3 linked regions of the Drosophila melanogaster genome follow. The protein of the gene in region 1 interacts with the protein of each later gene in a pairwise test. Each region holds a gene or a part of one and is shown on either strand. Other genes may lie near its edges.

Evidence for each region. The genes of interacting proteins can lie anywhere in the genome.
Region 2: the proteins of Ttd14 (region 1) and CkIIalpha-i3 interact in a two-hybrid assay, tested with the Drosophila melanogaster proteins (one large-scale study listed by BioGRID).
Region 3: the proteins of Ttd14 (region 1) and CG17826 interact in a two-hybrid assay, tested with the Drosophila melanogaster proteins (one large-scale study listed by BioGRID).

Annotation. Positions count from the first base shown.
Region 1 is NT_033778.4:18,436,570-18,441,979, forward strand, and holds the start of Ttd14 (TRPL translocation defect 14), read right to left. Parts: upstream 3,907-5,410; 5' UTR 3,386-3,906; coding exon 3,166-3,385; intron 1,707-3,165; coding exon 1,639-1,706; intron 1,409-1,638; coding exon 1,371-1,408; intron 1,044-1,370; coding exon 1,006-1,043; intron 160-1,005; coding exon 28-159; intron 1-27. Other genes in the region: slim (scruin like at the midline), read left to right, coding at 4,905-5,410.
Region 2 is NT_037436.4:707,818-712,625, forward strand, and holds CkIIalpha-i3 (CKII-alpha subunit interactor-3), read right to left. Parts: upstream 2,545-4,808; 5' UTR 2,541-2,544; coding exon 2,493-2,540; exon of another isoform or gene 2,467-2,492; coding exon of another isoform or gene 2,431-2,466; coding exon 1,921-2,430; intron 1,797-1,920; coding exon 1,740-1,796; intron 1,678-1,739; coding exon 1,516-1,677; intron 1,467-1,515; coding exon 1,395-1,466; intron 1,338-1,394; coding exon 1,263-1,337; intron 1,207-1,262; coding exon 1,174-1,206; intron 1,112-1,173; coding exon 893-1,111; 3' UTR 784-892; downstream 1-783. Other genes in the region: CG13895 (uncharacterized protein), read right to left, coding at 73-84; CG13896 (uncharacterized protein), read right to left, coding at 3,125-3,870, 3,928-3,940.
Region 3 is NT_037436.4:11,947,279-11,953,008, reverse strand, and holds CG17826 (uncharacterized protein), read right to left. Parts: upstream 3,171-5,730; 5' UTR 3,137-3,170; coding exon 3,109-3,136; intron 3,051-3,108; coding exon 823-3,050; 3' UTR 784-822; downstream 1-783. Other genes in the region: obst-G (obstructor-G), read left to right, coding at 1-610; CG7252 (uncharacterized protein), read right to left, coding at 3,803-5,205, 5,266-5,287.

The DNA.
Region 1 (5,410 bases):
TCTTTGGCTTCAACGGCTCTCACTCACCTTCGCTGCCATTGGGCCGGGATGCAGCCTTGGCCAAGCAGCGCGGACAGGATGCGGTTAGATCGATGAGACTGTGCTCCGGAGCGGCGAAGGGCAGATCTTTGTAAACGAACGTGGTTGGCGTGGGCGGGTCTGTGAGTGTGGTTGGTTTTGGTTGATTTGGTTGGCGATTTATTTTAGGTAATCGTATGGGAGTGGGTGTGTATTAGATTAGCCGCTGGCCGTAAATACTATATATATATGTATAGATGTACCCGTCCGCTTGTGACTCATAAAGGCTTTAATTGTCCTGCTTGCGAATGCCATTACTCATGAAGGCTTTGTAAGGAATTGCGACTAATCGGCCGACATGTGATCAGACCTGTAGCTACATTCTATATCTTATCTGATTGTACTTTTTGGCAATTTAGATATTTTCGAATGCGCCTCCTCTCCGCCCCCGCCGGCACAAGCACATTGACAAATCCATTAATAACCATAATTGACAAATTGCTCGGCGAGTGAAAAGGAAGAAAGCTAGCGAAATGACCTCGAGTCACGCAATCAGGATATCGAGTGGGGAATTCGAATCGTGTCCCAAGGAATTACGTAAGTTTCATTGAAGACGTGACTCTCGTGAGGCGGGGGACCTTCTGGCCAAATACTCAGATATATGTATATACTCGTACTATCTATAGTATGCTGGCTGTCGCACTTGCCTGATTTTAAAAATACCCCTAGCATATATTGTACGTATAGTATAGGGATTCTTTCTGTTGGTCGCTAGCGGCAAGTAAATATTTTGATTTATTTTCGTTGCTTCGAGAAAACTTGGTATCGAACTTGACAGTGCTCGGATAATGAGATATGTGTGTGTGTGGACTCGGAAAATGCTTGCATTGTAAGACTCCTCTTCTCTTATCTCCTCTGCTAAGTTAACTAGCAAGTTATTCTTTGGTCTCCCGGTCGGTTGCACCACCGCCTGCTATCTATACTTACCCTCTTTCTCGGTCAGATCGGAGAACTTCACACCGCCACTAGATATTCGGATGGTTTGGGGGAGAAACAGAGAGAAAGACAAGCGGGAATTAGCATCATTCACATGAAATTCTATTTGTATTCACTAGATCAAGTATTTCAAAGTTCAAGAGCATCGAGAATGGAACTCGAATGGAATTAAGTTCGTATCGGCATGGTCATCGTCACAGGTAAAAGACGAGCGGCAGGCAAGGCTACTTGGTCCAATCTCAGGTGGCAAACTCCTGAGCGGCTCCTTTCGCTTTGATTGCCTAGCATTGCATTGATTACGTTAATTTCTTTTTTTTTTTTTTGAGTGTAAGAGTGTGTGTGGAGAGGGAATTTACCTGAGTAAAACAGTGGCCGTTTCAGGCACGCGGAATACCTGAAAATATTTAACATGCTCATTGCTTTGTTTCGAGTTTTCGGCACAATAGAATTGTAATGAGGGGAATCGTATCTAAAGGTAATCCCGCTATCGCCATGGCTTCACTTCCTCCTCTACTTACAGAGCGGCCCGCGGCCCAAAGCAATCGCTAACTTGCCTTAGTCTAGGATCGGCATACCCATTTCCCATTTCCCATTCCCCCAATAGAATCCACCCACGACACTCACCTTCCATCCAAGGTTTTCGAAGAAAGTGCACAAGCGGGACTGTCCCGTCGTCTTTCCGCCGCAAGGCCCTGAAAAAACAACGCATAATGTATTCATTAGTTTTATTTGTTTATTGGCAAACGGGCTAAGGTTACATTCTTCAAATCTATACTGCTTGTATTGTCAGAAAAAAGGGGAGAAAGGTGCGCTCAAACTTGTTGGAAAATTCCCGTAAAATGTTTTATAGCTCAATTGAAATGTGCCGAGCTAGTGCGGAAAATATTGCTAAAAAGTTTAAAACGAAAACTTGCTGGTTTCTAAAAATACATTTTAAAAAGAACCACGTTCCTTTAGCATGGTTGTATTAATTAACTAAACAAATTCGCACGTGCTTGCAGTTTACATAAATTAAAATCTGAACCAGTAAATTGGGTTTGTAAATGCCTTAACATATCGTTAGACAACTAAATACGTTTTAGGTACACCATTAAAAAATTAATGAATTCTATGAAAAACTATCAACGATAACGCTTATTTTAAAACAACTTTAAAATTGATGAGATGAAAGAACATGTATTAGAAGCTATACTCTATCTATCTATCTATCAGTTGGATAAGATATGTGGTGGCTCTAGGTCGCCATGGTCTTGTTCATTGCTTGAATCGACGAGGCGGAAACGAATCCATTCGATTTGTGTCCCAAATTCCAGCAAATCAAGTGCACTTGAGTTTCCCGCCGCTGTGCATATCACTCGATTAGGTCTGCGGACTGACCCTGAAGGCAATTACGCCCATTGCTGAATGCATTGCGCAGCGATCTGGAGAAATCGATTCCGAATGCACGCTTAAAAAGAGTCACGTTCGTCATTCAAACGATAAGAAATTCCTTGAATGGGTCCTTACTGGGATTCCCAAAGGGATTTTCGTCAATGTAACACACGTGGCGATGTGCCTGTCTTTTATCAGCCTCTTCCGAAAATTATTAGAGCACTCGGGCGGAGGAAGCCCGCACCGTAGGCGATAATACTATAAGTAGTATGTGTGGGGTAGATAGGCCCGTCAATACATCAATGCTTTCGTTTTTTTTTTGTTTTTTTTTTTTTTTTGCGCTTCTAATCACAGCCATAACTTGGGCCCAAATTAAATGATTAGACCACGCGCCCAACCGCCGCTCATATGATGGTCGAGCAAAAACAGGTTTCCTATGAATTAATTCTTCGCATATGAATTGTAAATAGTTTTTGGCGAGGGTCTTTGAAGCGCCGACTGGCCGCAAAAGCCGGTAGCCACATGAATACAAAGAACGAAATATGATAGAGCTACCCCACTTGAAAGGTGGCGAAAGAGCTTGGGAAGCTGCGCGCAGGACATAATCTCTACCCATTGGTTGAAATTCGCGACCTTGACACAAATCGTAAACAAATCGCAATCGGGTGGGTGTATGGGCCACGAGGATGCGAGTGAACGAGGACACTTGTAACAGATACACAGCAAACCCAGATAGCTAACTTAGATATACATTCGTTTTGGGGGAAAATTAAAACTCACCGCCAGTGAGGACGATTTTGTAGACTCGTTTATCTTTCGGTGACACCGAACCCATTCTGTTCAGCTTCAAGCTGGGCATGGCGCCTGGTTTCGGTGAGCTCGACTTTCTGATCTCGACCTGCTGCTGCTGCTCCGGTTCGTCCTGGTGCCGTTGCTGCTCCTGACCATTACTGGTGCTGGCCATTACCGACTGCTGTCCGTTGCTGAGGAGGGTGGCCATGTCTTCGACTTCGGGAATTTGGTATTGCGTGTTTGTTTTTTGGGAGAGCAACCGATTCGCTGTGTGGTGGCACGCAGAGAACTCTTCTACGCGCGGTGCACGTGCCGTTTAAGGTTATGCCTGTGGAACTCGGGCAACTCCTGTGGCTCCTCGTGCTTTTCTGCCGACCTGGTCTCGATCCTGGTCTATGAATCCTGGAGATCCAGCTGGTGGCTCGGACTCGTGCGCTTTGCAATTTAAATGACGCACTGGCGCGCTGAAATCATTCCCAGAATTTGGATTGCGCGGGATGCTATCAGAAAGTCTGATGACGGAGCAGGAGGAACTTTACAAGTTTAAGTAGACGGCAGCGTTGCACGCTACTTTCACAATCTGTACCACATTCGATTGTTTGGGCAATATCAAAGTTTATTCGACTTGGGATGGTATTGCATTTTTACTAGTTGACACCGCATCCGTTAATTACACAAGCGAATAACAGAATCTTGTGGAATACCTGTGCCGACGGGGTCTTATACTGTTGGAATGAAATGCGGCCGCATTTGGATTGAGGGAAAACGGTGAAATTTTATGCAAATGGTCACACTAATATGAACAGTGATATAATTTAATAACTTTAAGTTAAAATAAACGCAATTATAAATATGTACAACAAATATATGTATAGATACATTGTTTACTTCTTTGGATATTAAAAACTCATAAAATGGTTTTTTTTTTATAAAAATGTATTTCGAATTGGCTTGCTTCAAAATTGTATTTTTTTTATTTAAAACATACACAGATAATGTGAGTTGAAAGTTTTTTAATTTAATTTAAGCAGATGGTGCTATAACATTCTGATTAAAGTTCTTTTATGCTAATTAGAACAGTGCATATTGTTTTAAGTGCCTCCCAACTTAATTATAAAAAATGAAATACACTATCGATAGCCAACTGTGCAATCGATAGCGTGTCATCTCTGACTCAAATGCACTCGAATGCAGCATGACCGTTTATGCCAGTTATCGATAATTCCACGGCCACACTGCTCAAATGTTCAGTTCTAAATTTAAAGCGTAGTTTGTCGCACACGAAACGATGCGCGAGTGTAATCGACTGCAATAATTAAACAAATCGGCAGCGTGCCACAACTAGTGAAATTGCAATAGCCTAGCGGGGAAAATTGACGAGCAGTTGAATTAGCAAAGGAACAAACATTTTCACAAACCACGTAACGTAACACATGTGGGTGCGTGTGTGTGTGGGTGCGAGCGAGAGGCAGTGTGTGTCAAAATGACAGCAGTAGCAACAACAACAATAGAAACAGAAGCAGCAGAAATCAAATGAACAACAACAGCTTAGTTAACCAGCTGTGCGAGGTCGCTTCAGACCCTCCTCCCACCTTTCCCACAGAAAACTGAAAAACCAAAACCACATTTGACAAAAGTAACAAAATTGTTCTGTTCCCTGTGGCAGGCAAGATCAAGCACCAAATTGTTAGTTACGTTATCAAAACTCAAAACTCATCGAGAGTGTTATGAACATACTAAATCCAGGCAAATTCAAGTGTATCGTATTTGACCAACTGCGTCACACTTGGACATTTCTTTTGTTTATCTGCGACTTCCTGGCGAAGATTTACAGGACGCCTCGTATAACTGCCCACCAGGAGCAGCTGGCCAACCATAATAATAACAACAACAATAATAACGATCTGATCATGGAACAGGACATGCCAGAGGAGGAAGTGGGTCAGCCAGAGGAGGCTCTGCCGCAGCAGGACAACGGTGAGGTTGTCGACCGTTTCAATGCCATTCAGGCTGCCGTGGAGCTCATGGACGCAGCCAGCGATTTGGACGAGGAAGAGGAGGAAGAAGACGACGACGTGGACGTGGATGTGGACTACGGCGATACAGATTCGGAGTCAGAATTCGAAGAGATGTACTCCGACGAGTGGACCAGTTCCAGCGATGAGCTGGACGAGGGTACAGAGCTATCTAAGAGTGTCTTGAATGTCTTCCTCTCGTCGGATAAACAGCAATC
Region 2 (4,808 bases), on another chromosome or scaffold:
TAACAAATTTCAAAAGATTTTACTAAAACGAAGCATTGCACTCTCACTTACTCACTACGAAAGTATACTTACGTCAGAGTACATTTCCACTCCCGCTCTCACACTTTCAGGTTCTCCACTCTCTCTTAGCGTGCTCGCACTCCCAGTCTGGCCCCCCCTCCTCACGTGACCAATATAATTCTGTTCCTTTAACAATGAAATTAAAACGAAATAGTTATTATACAGAGAAGAGCTAGAAATCTTGTTTACATACCTCAGTCGGAAAGCTTAGAGCATAAAGTACACTTTGTTGAAAATATACAGCAGTTTTTTAGGCACATTAAACAGAAAATATGTGCGGTCGCACGTGTTTAAAGTTGCCAGAGCGAGTGCAACTCAATGACTGAGCATGCGGTCCGAACATTGCAGAGATCTGGACTCTCCTCCGTTTGGCGGAGCGGCAAAAACCGTATCTTTGCGAGAGACATTCCGCTCTTTCTCTCGCGATCTAAACCGACTTCCCACGTTCCGATTCCGATCGTGGTGGTATTCGTTCGCGGTATGGGATTTATTTTCGGATCGAGAGTAAATATTCTCTCGCTAAAGCAGCTATAACTGGTTTAACATGCCGAAAAACACAAATCGCATTACCACCTAATCTGAGCTGAAACTGGTTTGATATGTACACATACATATATATAAAGCTATTTTTGCTCAAATTATATCTAGTGCTTAATTTAACGTTTACCACATTTAAGTGGGACCCTGTTGGTTATTCCACTCTATAAACTCTTTTCGCATATTACAATTATTTACACATTTTGGGTCTTGACTCTCAAAGGCAGGACACACGAACATTTTAATTGTAGATTACATATAAAAACTAAACTTTATTTTTGTGGCGTCAATAAGATCATAGATCGAAATCCTCGTTCTGAGGCGGATTTAAAACTGATTTTTCAACTTCAGTAAGTAGTCCAATGGCCCGATAGTTATCATTTAACATGGCGTACTCCTGTAAGACCTTCACGTAGGCCAAGGCCATATTTTTACAGTCGATGGATTTCAGTGAATTTTGTAAGGAAGCGACTACTTTGGGGTCCACATCGTCTTGACTGGTCTCATTTTCCTCCTGTCATTGAGTCATTTATCGTTACGTTAGTTCTATTACAGTCCAAGGACCTGTTTACTTACCTCAACTGCTGCCGTGTCGTGAGATTCAACAGTCTAAAAAAAAACATTCCAAAATTAAACACATTTTTCAGGTTGAAGAAACAACTAACCTCCTTGATCTCATCTTTTAAGGTCGTTTCCTTTTCCAATGACCCAATTTCCTCTTCATCGGTAAATTCACCATGCTAAGAAAATTAATAATAAGTGCTAATGTTACTGTTGATCTACTTGTACACACCCACCTCTATCTCTATTTTAATTATAGCTTCTTCAGAATCCGTACGCACGCGTACTTCTAATTTTTTCGACTTCGCCTGCAATAATAGTATTAATTTATGTTGCGACTTTTCAATAGTGTCATACCATTATTGGCGTTTTGTTGGCTTTCTTATTTCCTGCCGCTTTTGCTTTTTCATCATCAGACCATTTTTTACACACCTTACAAAGTTTGGATGGACGATTCTTAGTCAGCTTTCTTAGGTATTCACACCTCTTACAGCCACTTTTAATTAGACCGCTTTGTTGCTAGGATTAGTTTTATATTTACTAGCATTTAACTTATCCTTTATATGTTTGGCTATACTCACCAAGCTTACAGCTTCCTTCCACTTGTTGGTTTTTGCATTTAACATATTTCTAGGTTTCTAAAAAAGCATATCGAGTTCAGTCGAAATTCGATCAGAATTCGATGAGAGTTTTCATGAAAACATGGATGGATATTGGAAGCGCAATGAAAATATGTATAAGTTCTTTTGTAACGGTTCTTACATTGATCAGCTTTGGTTTCTCAGTAAGTTGCTCAGTTTTGTCCATCTTGGCCTCCGTCAGCTGGACCAGGCGATCCCGCCACCTGCGGCAGATTCTCTTGGTCTTGCGCTGTTCCTGCACCAGTGAGATTGAGCTGCCCACTTGGAACTCGCGCTGTGTGGGATCGGTCTTTGCCTGGATTTTGTTCCTCATCTCCACCATTTGCTCTATGTATTGTTTGACCTTGATGATTTCGGCATCCTGCAGGCCAATCAGAATGTCCCTGTACTTCCCAATAAGTCCTTTGAAACGTATCACTTGCATGGCAAGCATCATGGACTGCGCCTTGTAGGACGTACGCTTCGAGTTATTCTTCTCCTTCTGGATGACAGTGCGCAGCTGATCGAGCTCGCCATAGGTATCATTAAGGTAGCGGATGGCATTACGAAGATTTGACTCCGCTGTGGCAAAGGCGGTAGCATCCGGTGGACGAAATCCTGGCGGGGCAGGACCCAGTGCAAATAACCGGGACTGCAAGTTGTCCGATAAATTGGATTCCTTTTCCATAAATTTAACAAAACTTAGACTTCCACAATATGCTTTTTTGTAGACTTCAGATTGGTATTGCCCATCCGATGCATTTAGGGTTGCAATTTCGAAGTTATCGATAAAGTTTGCTTCATTTGATCAATATTGCATAATACTATAACTTTTTATTAACTGTATTACATGTTTTCACGATACTAGTTAATTCTTTTCAATTATGTTTGAATTTTCTATTTTGTGCAACCGAAGGTCTTTTCTTGAACCTTTAGTGTCATATTGGTGCTGCCAGATTTTTCGGTTTTTGTCAATTTCCAAGACGAACTTGCTTACAGATCGGCGTTGATCTCGGCAGGATTCACTTTGTTACTCTTCAAAATACTAATAAGATTTCAGAAATGTTGGTTTTTCTTGTGAAATTCCTTTAGATTGTTGTAACTATAGGTTTTAGAAAACGGTATTGCCACAGCGCAATATTTTAGCCAATACCCAAGCCAGATTTGTTTAGAACCAGATTCATTTTTCAGTGGTGTTAGCAAGTGCATGAACCATATTTAAATAAAGTAAATTAAAGTATATATATTATAAAATATTAAAATCTTAAATATAGAGGTATAAATTAGGTATGTGCCTTATCTTATCTTTGCTTTTCCAGTAGATTACGTGCTTGTTTATAAGGACACTACGTTTGATCCACCTCGAAGTCCTTGATCTGGGCTGGATATTGAATGGCGTGCTCCACCTGTATTAGCAGTCCTATGGCCCTGAAATTATCATGGATCATGGCGTACTCCTGGAGCGCTCTTAGGTGTCTCAATGCCTCTTCGTCGTTGCTGATGGAGATCTCGGCCGCAGACTCTGACAAATCATTAGTATTGGGTTCGGCGGCATTAAAGACTGTAAACTGTTCCCCATCCCGCTGCCGATCCGTTTGCACTTCGTAGTCCTTCTGGATCTTGATATCGACATCATCCAATGGCTGCTTTCGTTTGCGATACGTACGCATTTGGCGGGGAATAACTGTGCTGACAGTGGTGCCCATAGACAGCATCCTGCCTTTCTGGATACCGGTCTCCAAACTGACCACCGCTTCATCGAAATCATTGATGGAAAGTTCCTGCGGCGGTGGGACAGGGTCATCCTTTAGAATTTCGGACATCTCGTCGTAGAACTGCCAGTTTGGATGGAAATGCGGTACCTTCGCCAGGAGCTTGCTCCTTATGCTATAGTAGGTCTTCTTCAGGTTCCTAAATTTTCGATCCAGCTGAACTGCATCGATATCTGTCATTCCCTGGCTTTCAAGGGCAACGACCATTTCCCCCCAAATGTCCTTGATCTTTTTTTTCGGATCCCGAAAATCAGCTTGGCGTTCATTGTAAAGGGACAATAAAAGTCGGGTGTTGGATGTACACCACTTCCTTTCGTAAGCTGGCTTATTGTGAGTATATATATAGTTTTCTTCTTGAATTTATGTTTTTTACTCACACTTTGTATCCATTGTTTACAATAGCTATTCAGTTGATGACGAATAAGTTTTGTTTCCCAGGCTGCCAGTTCTTTCGGACGGCGTAAGAGAAAGGTATCATGATCCAAACATATGTGTTTCGATTTTTCTCTATCGATAACTATCGAAAAGGTTGCACGAAACAAAGATGGGAATAGGCTTTCGTTTTTTGAAAATGGATTTTTTGCCTAATCTATATCAATACTCGCTACCGAAGAGAACATTTATTTTATATAAATACTCATCTTAGCCTCATTTAATTGCCATTATGTAGTTTTTGAATTTAAAAATCTCGCAGTAAGGATTTAGTGAGTACTTGCCGCAGGTTGAGACCTCCCGCAACTTAATTATAGAAAGTTAATATTGAAATGGACCTACATACATTACAAATAAGCACATAACTATTACTGTGCTGCCATCTACCGGCAATGCGACTTTCATTTACAGACGCTAGATGTCGCCCAAACAGTTCGTCGATAGGGGCGCAGTAGTATAAATGTAAAATAACCGGGTACCGTATACTCGAGTATACACAGTAAAAAAAAGTTTAATAAACCAATATTGATTTTTGTAGTAATAAATTTGTTAAGCAAATTATATAAGATTATCAGTGATTTCTATTATAATCTTTTATAAACTAATCTGTAAGTTTTAGGTAAGAAAAAAGTTAGTCAAAAAGGCTAAGTCCTATCGTGGACTATCTATGCCCAATTTTCCGTATCAACCCAATCGAGCGTCTCCTAAATTTAATTTCCGCCACAAATAAAAAGGGAATTTACATATGCACAATTGGCACTTTTTTTCTAGAAACACCTGCGCACCGAGGTGGATGTGTGAAAAACTTGGTTAGAATATCTCGAGA
Region 3 (5,730 bases), on another chromosome or scaffold:
TCCTGACAATGTGGATTGCATTTTCGATGGCAAGGATAATATTGTTGACGACACGTCAAGTTCTGAAAGCGACGAAGACGATGATGAGGAAATGGCCAAAACTGATCCTCCCGTTACTGTCAAAGCGACGAAAAAGCCGCGTCCTACAACCCTTGACAAAATGTGTGCTGGCAAGAAGGATGGAGTGATGCTTACAAAGAACGGGTCCTGCCAGGAATATTATGTCTGCAAAGCAAAAAAGCCCCATCTGCGCTCTTGTCCTGACAAACAACATTTTAGTCCAACTCGTCGCATTTGCATGAAGGCCTCAGAAGCCAAGTGTTCGGGTGGAACCCGAGAAAATAAAGAATCAGATGGTCCTGCCACCACGGGAGGAGTGTGTTCAGATGAAAAGGAAAACTCTCTTGTTGCTCATCGCAGCGATTGTGGCAAGTTTATGCTCTGCAGCAACATGATGTTTTTGGTAATGGACTGCCCAACTGGCCTGCATTTCAATATAGCCACATCACGATGCGATTATCCCAAAATTGCAAAATGCCAGACGAAGCTAAATGAAAGCAAATCCAAGTCAAAGAAACCTGTGCGCAAGTCAAAAAAACGTCGATTCTAACTATATTTTTTTAAGACCCCAATAAAGTGCTTGAATTATAATAATTTTTAATAGTCCAAAGCCTAAACAGAGAAAATATAGCCACATCATATAGTACTAAAAATAAGGGGAATATTTTCTATTCTCTGCTTAGAATAAGTAGTTTTTATCTATAGAAAAACGAAAATCTTTTCGTTTAATACTCTGCTTTAAATATTGTTTATTGAAACCACTTAGCACTTAACATTATCGGGCCAATCGCAGGATTTGACCTGCAAATTGAACAAAAGTCCAGAGGAACAAGTGAAGTTCACCTCACACTCGCACTGGCAGACTACATAATTAGAACTACAATCTCCGCTGGCATCGGCGAACATGGTACCATCCCGCTGGCCAACGCATCGTCCGTGGCTCTCGCAATAAGTTCCCGAGGGTCCGGCAATCGGACCACTTGGCGGTGCAGATCCATCGTCGCATTGAACATTTTCGGGATAATCGCACTGCTCTATTATTGAATTGTATTGCAGGTTGTTGGAGCACCGCTGCTCATATTTGTTACCATTTACGCACTGGTAGAAGGCGGAGCAATTTTTCTCCACGGGCCAGATGGAATTGTTGGGCACATCGCAGCAGTCGGGATCGCAGGTTTTGGGAATGCACACATTCTCTGTGTCGACCTCGCATTCCTTCAGTGTGGTATTGAAGAACTGCGTAGCGGAGCACTTCCTGGCCACAAAGACTCCGTTTATGCACTGTAGGTATCCGGCGCAGTCCGCAGGATTCACCTTAACCTCATTCTCAGTGCATGTCGTTCCATTTCCGTTGCACTGACCATTATCCACATCGCAGACCTCTGACTGGCTGTTCCAGTAGTAACCACTGTCGCAGGACTTGGTCACATACTTGCCACCGGAACAGATCTCATACATGGTACAGTCGGCCAAGGGTTTTGTAGATCCCTCTTTACAATTGACACATATTCCCTCGTCGTCTTGTACACAAGTCTCCAGTGTGGCATTGAAGTAAGCTCCGTCGGCGCACTGCTTGCTCACCCAGTTACCGTTCGAGCAAGCCAAGTAGCCTGCGCAATTGGTGGGGTCCACCTTAAGTTCGCCATCAGTGCATGTCGTTCCATTTCCATTGCACTGACCATTATCCACATCGCAGACCTCTGATTGGCTGTTCCAGTAGTAACCACTGTCGCAGGACTTGGTCACATACTTGCCACCGGAACAGATCTCATACATGGTACAGTCGGCCAAGGGTTTTGTAGATCCCTCTTTACAATTGACACATATTCCCTCGTCGTCTTGTACACAAGTCTCCAGTGTGGCATTGAAGTAAGCTCCGTCGGCGCACTGCTTGCTCACCCAGTTACCGTTCGAGCAAGCCAAGTAGCCTGCGCAATTGGTGGGGTCCACCTTAAGTTCGCCATCAGTGCATGTCGTTCCATTTCCATTGCACTGACCATTATCCACATCGCAGACCTCTGATTGGCTGTTCCAGTAGTAACCACTGTCGCAGGACTTGGTCACATACTTGCCACCGGAACAGATCTCATACATGGTACAGTCGGCCAAGGGTTTTGTAGATCCCTCTTTACAATTGACACATATTCCCTCGTCGTCTTGTACACAAGTCTCCAGAGTGACATTGAAGTAAGCTCCGTCGGCGCACTGCTTGCTCACCCAGTTACCGTTCGAGCAAGCCAAGTAGCCTGCGCAATTGGTGGGGTCCACCTTAAGTTCGCCATCAGTGCATGTCGTTCCATTTCCATTGCACTGACCATTATCCACATCGCAGACCTCTGATTGGCTGTTCCAGTAGTAACCACTGTCGCAGGACTTGGTCACATACTTGCCACCGGAACAGATCTCATACATGGTACAGTCGGCCAAGGGTTTTGTAGATCCCTCTTTACAATTGACGCATATTCCCTCGTCGTCTTGTACACAAGTCTCCAGTATGGCATTGAAGTAAGCTCCGTCAGCGCACTGCTTGCTCACCCAGTTACCGTTCGAGCAAGCCAAGTAGCCTGCGCAATTGGTGGGGTCCACCTTAAGTTCGCCATCAGTGCATGTCGTTCCATTTCCGTTGCACACGCCGCAGGTATCTTCAACGCACCGATTTAGGGTCGAATTGAAGTAATCGCCATCTGGACAGGTCAGGATCACTATGATTCCGTCCACGCACTCTAAATAGCCGGCACAGTCATCTGGATTCGGTGTAATTTCTCCATCCACACAGGTTGGAGGTCTGCATTGACCATCATCCACGACACAGATATTTAACTCCGAATTCCAATAGGATCCGCTTGCACACGACTTGGATACAAATTCGCCGTGACAGCAGATCAGATACTTGGTACAATCATCCGCATCCACTTTTGTGTCGCCCTCCGAGCAGCACACAGCACTTGACGATCCCATAAAGAGGGAAATTATTAGGCACAGGGCCACTCCTGGGTAAAAACCGCGGATCAACAATCATCCTCCCAATTATCATTGCTCCGTCCTTACCATAGTGTTTAGTTCTGGATTGGGCCATCTTTGCACTCTGCGTATCGAATGCTCACTGATGAATCTTCGCTCGAAGATATCGCCTTTTATATTTACCGGCAATTAAAATAATTGAATGTCTCTTCCTGCATCAGAGCATGTGGCGGTGATAATGTCGAAACATCCGTGATACTATCAGCATATATATACAGTAGTAATACAAGCAATCGATATTGTCACTATTTATAAAACTCAGCGGTTCATTGTGAATCCGCGAAATCAAAGAGTCCAAAAGAAATTATTCTTCAGTTGCTATAAGATGCTCATATATGAGAAGTCTTAACGATCGATTGAAATTGAAATTTCAATGCGCCATAGTGCATATATGTATAAAGAAGAACAACTACTGATAGGTACTTACCTATGTGAACTAACTATTTTGAAGCTTTATATTGTGATAGCAGTGGTTGGACCAGCTACAAATTCCTACAGGAAACATACCCCTTCTTTATTAAAAAAAAAAAAATGGGTATTTATGTTCGATAAGCTCTTGCCAATCTCATTGAGTGCCGACACCTGTTGGCATATTCCCGCCACAAAACTGATTAAAATGATTTACTGATCCAATGTTTCATTAATAAATGGGCAGATTAGGCTACATCCTAGTAGTAGTAGTTGCTTTGATAATCACTTTCTTTATTTGCCAATCGGTCATTTAAAGAGTGCAGGTCACTTGGTTCTTATAATTGCAGGTCTGCAAGCTTTCGTCCCAATACAAGCCATCGGCGCACTCCATCTCGACCTCGCATTCACACTGGCAGACGACGTAATTGCTACAATTTGTGGTGGACTTTAAGTAGGTACCCTCACGTTGTCCCATGCAACGGCCATTACTCTCGCAGGCGATTCCCGAAGGTCCTGCATTGGGACCAGAGGGTGGGGTATACTCCCACGGGCAAACATAGTCCTGGGGGTATTCACATTCTTCGGTATTTGGGTTGTAGACCAAGTTGTTCGGACAATATTGCTCGACGGCGCAGTTGAAGTTACACTTGTAGAACATGTTGCACTTGCCTTCCACCGGAAAGAGTTCTCCCTCCGGCTGGTTTTGGCACACGGTGCTGGTGGTATTGCACTCCACCTTGGGCACATAGTTTTCAGGATAGTCGCACTGGTCTAAGGTGGCGTTGTAGACGAGGTCACCGTAACATTGAACCGCCGAGGAACCAATTGCGGATTTAGTGTCCTTAATCCAATCACACACTTGGGCCGTCTCGTTGAACTTCAGACCCTCGGAACAGGGCATCGCAATGGGGCACTGGCATTGGCAGACGAAGAATCCATTCGAATTGGGGTCCGCAATCATGTAGCCATCCCTCTTACCAGCGCATTCGCCCTGACTGGAGCAGGTGGTGCCCGATGGTCCCTCGATCTCAGTGGAGCCATCGGCGGTGGGGGTACAGTCCACATTCCACCAGTAATCGCAATCGTCTATCGCCGTGTTGAAGTACAGACCGGAGGGACACTGGAATTCCTCGGCACAACCATTGTTGCATTGGATGAACCTCACGCAGATCCCGGGCATATCTATATAGGTGCCAGTTTTCTGATTAACGCAATCCGTGCGGGAACTTTTGCAATACGAGGGCACCACACTTGGACTCGAAGGCGTGGTGTTGGAGGAGTTGTTGGGGTCATCGAAATCCGTTGTAGCATCCGTCGGCTCCGTGGAATCGGAGGGTTCCGTGGCTGAAGTGGTGGTATCCGGATCGCAGTCCTCGGTGACCGCCGTGGTAGTTTCATCGATATCGTCAATGGGATCCTGGCACTCCTCAGCACAGCAATCGCAGGTACACTGATCATCCACTTCGGCAAAGGCCGAGAGTCCCAAGCAATTAGCTCGCCACTGGAAGTCGCACTCCCTCAGCTCCCGATTGAAATGGAGTCCACGAGGGCAGCTACCGATAATGGAAACCTCTCCCTTCAGACAAACGACAAATCGGGAACAGTGGGTGGCCAACGGAAGTCTAGTGCCATCTTCCTGATTTTGGCACACATTCGTCAACTGGGCTACCACAGTTTGAAGACCTCCGATAAGCAGCAGAACGGTCCAGAGACCTAGGATACGGACCCGAAATAAGTTACTAGCCTTGGGTAGCCAACTCTTCACCAGCTTACCCCCAAAATCGATTGGTCGCATTCTTCCGAGATCACCTTTAAAGTAGTCCGAATTTCGCGAACGACTAAGTGGCAAACCAGGCCGTGTAGCACCATTTAACTGCCATGAGTGCGCCAAATCAGTAGTCAATCTTCTGATAATACCAATCACCATACGAATCTCTCGATTAATTCGGCAATGATTTGTTTTGCGCCAGAACGCTATCGCAGGTGTAATTAGGTGTGTGTGTCTGAAGCTCGGCACTGGGATTCGGGCCGGGCTGCCTTATCAAGACCTGAACTTCAGTGCCTCCAACCTGGAGAGAAACCAAATATTTTGGCATAGGTCTACGGATTCTCGACTGCTGAATGGGTACCGCCCCGGCGTCTGCCTAATTTACGTTCTGTCGCACACTCCTAGATAACCACATAACGTATACCTAATCACTCGATTCACTTTATTGACACTTGAAATTAAATGACGTT